2 linked regions of the Arabidopsis thaliana genome follow. The protein of the gene in region 2 interacts with the protein of the main gene of each other region in a pairwise test. Each region holds a gene or a part of one and is shown on either strand. Other genes may lie near its edges.

What was found. Proteins that work in one complex are often made in the same cells at the same time.
Region 1: the proteins of ROC4 (region 2) and ASAT1 interact in binary tests that used the Arabidopsis thaliana proteins (3 or more experiments, as listed by UniProt).

The regions. Positions count from the first base shown.
Region 1 is NC_003074.8:19,282,742-19,286,145, reverse strand, and holds ASAT1 (acyl-CoA sterol acyl transferase 1), read right to left. Parts: upstream 1,808-3,404; 5' UTR 1,727-1,807; coding exon 689-1,726; 3' UTR 564-688; downstream 1-563. Other genes in the region: AT3G51980 (ARM repeat superfamily protein), read left to right, coding at 1-25, 123-335; BZIP24 (basic leucine zipper 24), read left to right, coding at 2,082-2,140, 2,297-2,492, 2,578-2,884, 3,194-3,318. UniProt on the Arabidopsis thaliana protein: Involved in the esterification of cycloartenol. Not implicated in the formation of sterol esters in flowers or during seed maturation. Has a substrate preference toward saturated fatty acyl donors (16:0 > 18:0 > 16:1 > 18:1).
Region 2 is NC_003074.8:22,971,297-22,975,898, reverse strand, and holds ROC4 (rotamase CYP 4), read right to left. Parts: upstream 2,896-4,602; coding exon 2,807-2,895; intron 2,625-2,806; coding exon 2,604-2,624; intron 2,336-2,603; exon of another isoform or gene 2,241-2,335; coding exon 2,138-2,240; intron 1,944-2,137; coding exon 1,755-1,943; intron 1,678-1,754; coding exon 1,524-1,677; intron 1,437-1,523; coding exon 1,348-1,436; intron 1,257-1,347; coding exon 1,202-1,256; intron 1,109-1,201; coding exon 1,023-1,108; intron 916-1,022; coding exon 760-915; 3' UTR 572-759; downstream 1-571. Other genes in the region: AT3G62040 (Haloacid dehalogenase-like hydrolase (HAD) superfamily protein), read left to right, coding at 78-275, 350-571; GLP10 (germin-like protein 10), read left to right, coding at 3,707-3,818, 3,906-4,456. UniProt on the Arabidopsis thaliana protein: PPIases accelerate the folding of proteins. It catalyzes the cis-trans isomerization of proline imidic peptide bonds in oligopeptides. Required for the light-induced increase of thiol accumulation.

The DNA of each region.
Region 1 (3,404 bases), 3.7 Mb from region 2:
GCTTGATCTTGATCTCCAAGAAAAGGTAGAACTATTACAGGGGCCTATGACCGTTTTTCTTCCTCTATGAATCTTGGCACACATCTCTTTCTAACTTATGCTACTCGGAAAATATGTTTCAGGCTCTTACAGCAATCCAAACTCTTCTTCAACTTAAATCCATAGAGCCTCAGGTTCTCAAAGAGTCCTGCGGGTTGGAAGAAGCATTAGAGAGAATGAAGCTACAGCTGGAGGAATCAATGGCGGATGAATACAAGAGAGACTATGCTGCAGATGTGGAGAGCATTCGTGGTGAAGTGGAACTGATCTTCCGCCAAAAGCTTGGACTTTTATGAACACCATGATCAGTAAGAAAGCAACTCCCTGTGCGTTAATTTCTGGTGGGAAAAGCTTTAGCTGTAGGAGTTGTAGACAAATTCTAACTGCCTTAGATAGACTTAAGATGTGTAACTTAGGCGGATCTTGCTGATCCATTTTGCATGTTATTGCCTCTACTCGAGCGGGTTTCTTCCCCTCATCTTTACTTTCATATCATGTTTGCAAGGTTTTATGTATAGTATTATGAACTTCCACAATTTTCTTGATTCGTGTGCCATGTAAATGATGGGGTTGCAGAAATGTCGGTTTTACAGTGTTAGAAAAAAATAAGTTAAAATAGAGATCACTCAAGCTTTGTCACACGGCAGGGTTAAAAAAGATATGCGGTCAGTTTCCTCCTGACCTCGACTGCAAATGCGCCTATGGCTGCGTACTCATCAAGAGCCTTCTCAACTATGTTGCACCGATTAAATTCGGGCAAGAACAGCCACAATGCCGTCACCATCACAAAAGTGAGTGTCAAAACCTGACTGATTGCTTTCGGGAATCTCCACCTACCGTTAATGGTTTTCTTGATGGCGATCTCCACGGTCGTGCAAAATCCATTTATGAGGAAGAACCACATCATCTTCCAGTCTGGCCTCAACCGTCCCATGTAGAAGAAGATGAGCTCGTGCATTATCCCAGAGACAACAAACGTCCCGAAAGCTGCAAGAATCTGGGAATAGTTCGGGCCCAAAACCGAGAACAGTTGAAGTGACGGTTCGTACACGGTTGGCCGTAAGATTCCAGTGACCATCAGGTTCCATCGTCTCCCCCAGAAATCTTGAAGTGATGTCGCTAGGTACGGCTTGTTGAACTGTGGCTCGAGCTCAAGATCCGACATGGCTCGAACCGCAGCAGCTGTGGCGGCAAGGATGATCTCAAGGGCGAAATATATGTGGATCGCGTAGAGAGTCAGCACGACTTTCTCAGGCAATTTGGTACTGTATTCGTAGGCTTTGATGATGAGAACCACAAAAACTGCCTTTATGGTATAAATCAAAGGACCCTCTGTGGATCCTTCATGGGAGTGAGTTTTTGTAGGTTTTGGGCTCAGCTGAATCTTGATGGGCAAGCAAGAGACAGCTAAGAAAATAGGGAGAGATAGGGGTTTATGGTTTGAAGAGAGAGGACCGCGCCCTAATGCAAATAATAAGAGCTTGAAATTTGCTAGCCAAGCGATGAAGAAAGCCGTGATGCCGAGTAAATGTAAGGAATATATCAAGAAAGGTACTATGAAGAAAATGAGGAAGACAGGGAAAAATAGTATGAGCCTTTTGATTCCTTTTGGAACCAATTTGGCAATGAAAAAAGTGTAACACAGTGAGATGATCACTAAACCCCATGCCTTGATGAAACTCGCCATTTTTGCTTCTTGAACTCAAATCTCGTCGGGAAGCAAGATGATGATGATAAACACGTTTACAAAACGTGTCCGCCAGCGAACACTAAATAATGATAGAGACGTGCAATAAGTTAAAATCCATGAGAAAAGTCTTCTTCTTTTTCTATACGAAACAATTTGACAATTGACATTAAAGAACCAATTCTCTTTCTTATAATATATTATTCATTGGGGTCTGGGGATATGGTAAATGGCTTTGCTTATTGTTCCGTCGTAATTTCTAGTAATAAAACCATTTCAAAGTTTGGTACAGACAAAAAAAAAAACATTTTAAGGTAATCTCAAAACCAAAAAGCCTATCAATCTTTGTACTTGGATGTTTTGTTGTTGCAAGGATTGCAGAGGAAACCAACGAGTTTCTAACTTTGATTCTCTGTAAGATTTTTCTTTCTTGGGCCATGTCAAAAAATTATAAAGAGTTGACTACTGTTTTATTCATCCACTATGTTAATCAAGAACATATTCTTCAACACCATCTTTACTTTAATCAAAAACCCTAATAATATCACCATAATTCTATGTCCCAAACAGAACAGGTGTTTTCTTTGGAGATCTTGAGTTTGGACCTCAGAATCAAAGATATATAAAGATGAATGAGGAAGAAGATAAAGATCAAGATCGAGTAACGAGAGGATGTAGTCACACTCATAGCTGTAACCCTCCAGGCCCAGAGGATGCTTCTCACTCCCACACATGCTTCCACGCTCACACTCATCTCATCATCTCTGTAATAATATCTCTTCCCTTAAGATATGGTATGTTTCTGATGATATTTTAATGGATTGTTATAGATACATATTTTTATGTTGCAGCAGGATCAGCAAGAGAATGATCATTCTGACAGTAGCAACAAGAAACGGTTATGTGGTAATAGAGAGGCAGTGAGGAAGTACAGGGAGAAGAAGAAGGCTCGCACTGCATACCTTGAAGATGAAGTGATGAGATTGCAATCTCTGAATGAGCAATTCCTTAGAAAACTTCAGAGCCAAGAAATGGTGGAAACTGAATTGATCAGACTCCGGGCTCTTCTGGTAGAGATGCAGGGGAAAATTGAAGTTGAACTTTGTAGTTTCTCGTTTCAGAAACAATGCAACGGTTCTGGTTTTGTGTTCAAAGAAGGTGATTTCTCCTACTATTTGGTTTACTAGTTGAAATTGGTTGTCAACAATCTGATACGTTGATGAAAAATTTAGCATTAAGAGGAAGAACTAGTAAATAGCTAATGAAATTTGAGCTACTGAAATTTTATTGAACAATACGAAACGCTAAAGAACTAGTTTCATTTATTTGGTTATCGTCTTAGTAAAAATCACATTTTCGAATAATGAAAACGTAAACTAATAGTAAACCATTCATCACCATCATTTTTATACAAAAGTGACCTAGACCTAATCTTGACACAATTTTGGATCTCGTGTAATCACACAGATGGATGCAACTTAGCAACAAGTAATATGATGTGTGAAGCGGCAAGAGTGGAGTGCGAGGAGGGCCAAACACTTCATGATCCTATTCAATCTTTTGTTCCTCAACCACCACCATTCTCACGTTAAGCGTTTACGGGCTGTGGTATTGTGTGTATATATATACATATGGGTTTAATTAGGGGCATAGAGGTCGGATTCCAATATAGTTAACA
Region 2 (4,602 bases):
TCTTCAAGCTTTGTACTCGAATTCTCCACTGAATCTTTTTTTCTCATCCTCTGTTTTTTCATTTTCCCTTCGAACAGATCTTTACTAACGCAGACAAAGCTCACGCAACACGAGCTCTCAACAGATTGGGTCTTGAGGACTGCTTTGAAGGAATCATTTGCTTCGAAACACTAAACCCTTCTTCTGATTCAAACACTCAAATCCTCTGTAAACCCTCTGTTGAAGCATTTGAAGCTGCAATTCGCATTGCAGACATTGTTGATCCACGCAAAACGGTAATAGAAAAGTCACTATGATCTTTCACAGTTTCAGATACCAAACTTAAAAGTCTATATCTTTTTCTTTTCAGATATTCTTCGATGACAGTATTCGTAACATCGCTAGTGCTAAAGCAACAGGGCTAAAAACCGTGTTTGTGGGGGAATCAGTGCTAGTTCCAGGTGCTGACTATGCACTAAGCAGCATTCATAACATAAAGGAAGCAATACCTGATTTATGGGAAGACAACAAAGATGAGAAGCTCGAGCCAATTGTTCAGCAAGCCGCGGTTGCAACCATGGTCAATGCTTAGAGAGACATTCTAATAAGAATCCCACATCGATTAAAAGAACTTATAACTCATGTATCCGAAATATATAATAAATAAAAGACCAGAATTTGAAAATCTTTGGCTTTTTGATGGTTTGGATTCCTCAATAGTCATAATAGCAAAAAACAGAACAAAGATGGCAAAGACAATGCATCGGTCAATAGTGATTATCAAGCATCTAACGGGAGCTCTCCGCAGGCATAGATTCTACAACCTTTCTTGGGAACATCGAAAGCGCGAGTCTCTTGAGACTCAAGAGTCCTAACAAGCTTCATACCTTCAATTACTTGTCCAAACACGACATGCTTGTTATCTAACCATGAAGTCTGCACAAAAAAACAAATTTGTGAAATAAATATTAATCAAAATGGGAAGGCAAACATATGAAAGATCGATAACTCTATAGATGATGTGAAGAATTGAGAATCTTTACCTTGACGGTACAAATGAAAAACTGGCTTCCATTAGTATTAGGACCAGCGTTTGCCATGCTCAAGATTCCAGGTCCAGTATGCTTCACTGCAAATGCGGAAAACAAAACCATTAATACCTCAAAGAAGTAATGCCATATTTGCAGAAAACCAGAGTTTTTCTTTGTTTGTGAGTACTTACGGGTGAAGTTTTCATCTTCGAACTTGGCACCGTAAATACTAATACCTCCAGTACCCTGTGAGACCATATCGAAAAAGACGATTTAGAAAGAAATATCAAAATAACAAACAAACAGTCTGAAATGTAACTTGTTGGAAAGAACTTACATTTCCCTCGGTGAAATCACCTCCTTGGATCATGAAATCCTTAATAATACGATGGAAAGAGGAACCCTTGTACCCGTATTTCTTCTCACCTGAAGAAATCAATTTCCTTTAGACAATGGTTTTGATTGTGTCTATAAAGTTCCAAACTTTAAACATCATTTTGATAAGGAGCTTACCAGTACACAAGGCACGGAAGTTTTCAACGGTTTTAGGCACAACTTCTCCAAAGAGACCCATCACAATTCTGCCAGCAACTTCACCTCCAATTTCCACATCAAAGTAAACCTTGTTTGTCACTTTAGCTTGAGGTTCGATTACTTCTTCTTCCTCCTACAAACCAAGTTCAAAAATCAACACGAATCCATAAGGCAACAGAACATGAATGATTTATGAAAAAAGTAACTTACAGCAGCCATGGATTTAACACAAGCGGTTCTCTGATGCTTGGTGGTCGCATAAACCCCAGAAAATTGCTTAATGGGTGATGCATAGTGCAATCTCGAAGATAATGCAATTCCAGAGGAACGAGCTCCAAAGCAAACTGATTGAGTTGTTCGATTTGCAGAAACTAATTGCGACTTAACACCGAACCCAATCTACACAGAAAACCAAACAAAAGAGATTTAAGACCAAAAAAAACCCACAAGAACAGGAATAGTATCCGATTGAAATTTCGTTTTAACTCACAGAGACACACTACTTAAAGTGAAGAAGAAAAAAGGATAGAATTCAAAGCATAAATCTTCGACGAAAATTGAAAAAACCGCAAATGTAGGATTAAGTTTAGAACCTGGGCAATGGAGCGGGAAGTGTGAACCATCTGCATAGAAGACGAAGAAGCCATTGAATGATTAAAGATGAAGACTTTTTGTTGGTTCGCTTTAGACAACAGTCTTTAGTTTTGCAGATAAGAGAACCGCCTCGAGCCTTGTTTTTTAAGTTAGCAACTCTATGGATTGGTGGTATCCTTAGCATCTCATGCTAACTTACGCCTAATGATAATGACAGCTAGAGGCCTATTTTTAATTTCTTTTAGGCCCAGCCCAAGTCATTTATCCAAATGCTTTCTCTCTTAAGTTACAACAAAAAATTGGGTTAGGGTTAAACCTGTGGTTGCGGATGACTATCAAGTACAATTGCCGTAGAAAGCCTTTTTTTATTATTTGCTGTAGAAAGCCTTTTTTTTTCTTTCTAAAGCACACAATTTTTAATTTTCCAAAATTTTGATATCATTCTCTGAAAATTTAACTGCTTACAGATTTTGGCATTTAATATTCCTAGAACAAAATCATGTTTTTATGAACAACATCATAAGACCAGCAAGATTAGTTTTGTCTATTATTTCACACTCAATAGATCAAAACCACAAACTCCAAGAACCAACAAAATTGTTCATGTTTTCATACACAAAGCTACTACAGTCTTTGGACATTATTTAAACACACATAATTTGCTGTACCATGCATCAGCAACTTTCGTCTCTCTTGGAGTTTGTAACAGCTTCTGTTGAGCACCGACTGCGTAAGGGAGAAGAAGTAAACGGAACATCAGCTAAGAGTTTTCGCCAAAGCCATTCAAAGCTTACATAAGGAAATTGTATTGCTGATGGGGGTGGGTTCCTTGAGTGCCAAGAGTACTTTGATATTTCTCATCCGCTAAGAGATTGTTTGGTAGCTGAGAGGGTTTTAGTTAGATTTATCTGTGGTTGTGGATGAGTGAAATTTACTGGTTTGCTTTCACTGGTTGTCGTGTGCTAATTTCGACTCTACCCCTTGCCAAGGCACATTCACAACCATGTAACTGTAGGGTAATTGAGTAACTTTCTTTGTCAATCCAGGAAAAACATCACTTGGGCCGCACCATGGCCCAAACAAGGCACGGATCTGCTTTAACCTAACACCTCGATTTAATTTACCCTATCGATGATTACCACAAGTGGGCCTATTTGTTTATCTACCAGGCCCAGCCCATCATGATAAGAAAATGCTTGTCACTCAAGTTTTTAATTAACTTTCCAACTCCTTACCAAGAATTTGAAACTGAAACTTTTTATTATTGATCTATAGATCTCTGATCTGGAATATATTTCGGTTAAACCAAGAATTCTAGCTAACGAAAACCAAAACTTAAAAGTTAGATTAAATATGTACATGTGTAAGAAAACGACATCACATCTTTCCTCCAACTCCCAAGCTTTGCTTTGCGTTTAAGTTAGTTAAGCTATGCATAATTTCTCCTCAAACAGATTCAAATATTTATAACGATCCAAATCGAAACAAAAACATATCACACAGTTTCAAATTAGAGCTTCAAATCTAGTTACTTGTTCTTCTACAGTACATCATCAAAAGTCAAAACCATGGACTCGAGATGTTTTGGCTTCTTCTTTACTTTGTTATCTCTAAATGTGATTGTTCTTGCTTACGATCCTGACACACTTCAAGATCTCTGCGTTGCGGATCGCACTTCAGGTACACATATATCTTCAAATTAAATTTACTGTCTACTTTGAATGATTTGTTAAAGTAATGAAATGTCGTCGTTTTTGGATTATGTAGGGATAAAAGTGAATGGTTTCACATGTAAACCCGAATCAAACATCACCGCTTCAGATTTTTTCTTCGCCGGAATCGGAAAACCCGCCGTCGTTAACAACACAGTCGGGTCAGCCGTCACGGGAGCAAACGTAGAGAAGATCGCAGGGCTTAACACGCTCGGAGTCTCACTCGCGCGTATCGACTACGCTCCCGGAGGTTTAAACCCGCCGCACACGCATCCACGCGCCACCGAAGTGATCTTCGTTTTGGAAGGCGAGCTTGACGTTGGATTCATAACGACGGCGAACAAGCTCTTCGCTAAGACGGTGAAGAAAGGAGAAGTGTTCGTCTTCCCTAGAGGATTGATTCATTACCAGAAAAACAACGACAAAGCGAAACCGGCGTCGGTGATCTCTGCGTTCAACAGTCAATTACCGGGAACACAATCGATCGCCGCCACGCTATTCACAGCCACTCCGGCGATTCCGGATCACGTTTTAACGACGACGTTTCAAATCGGAACGAAAGAAATCGAAAAAATCAAATCTAAGTTTGCTCCCAAGAAAGTCTAAAAATCGCGTCGTTATATATATATATTTTAAATTTTATTAATTGGTTTTTAAATTTTAATAAAGGAAAAAATAAACCTTGTTCATTAGAATAACCTGCTGAATCAGCTGGAGGGTTTTAAGCAATGCATATAAAGGTACAAACCTAT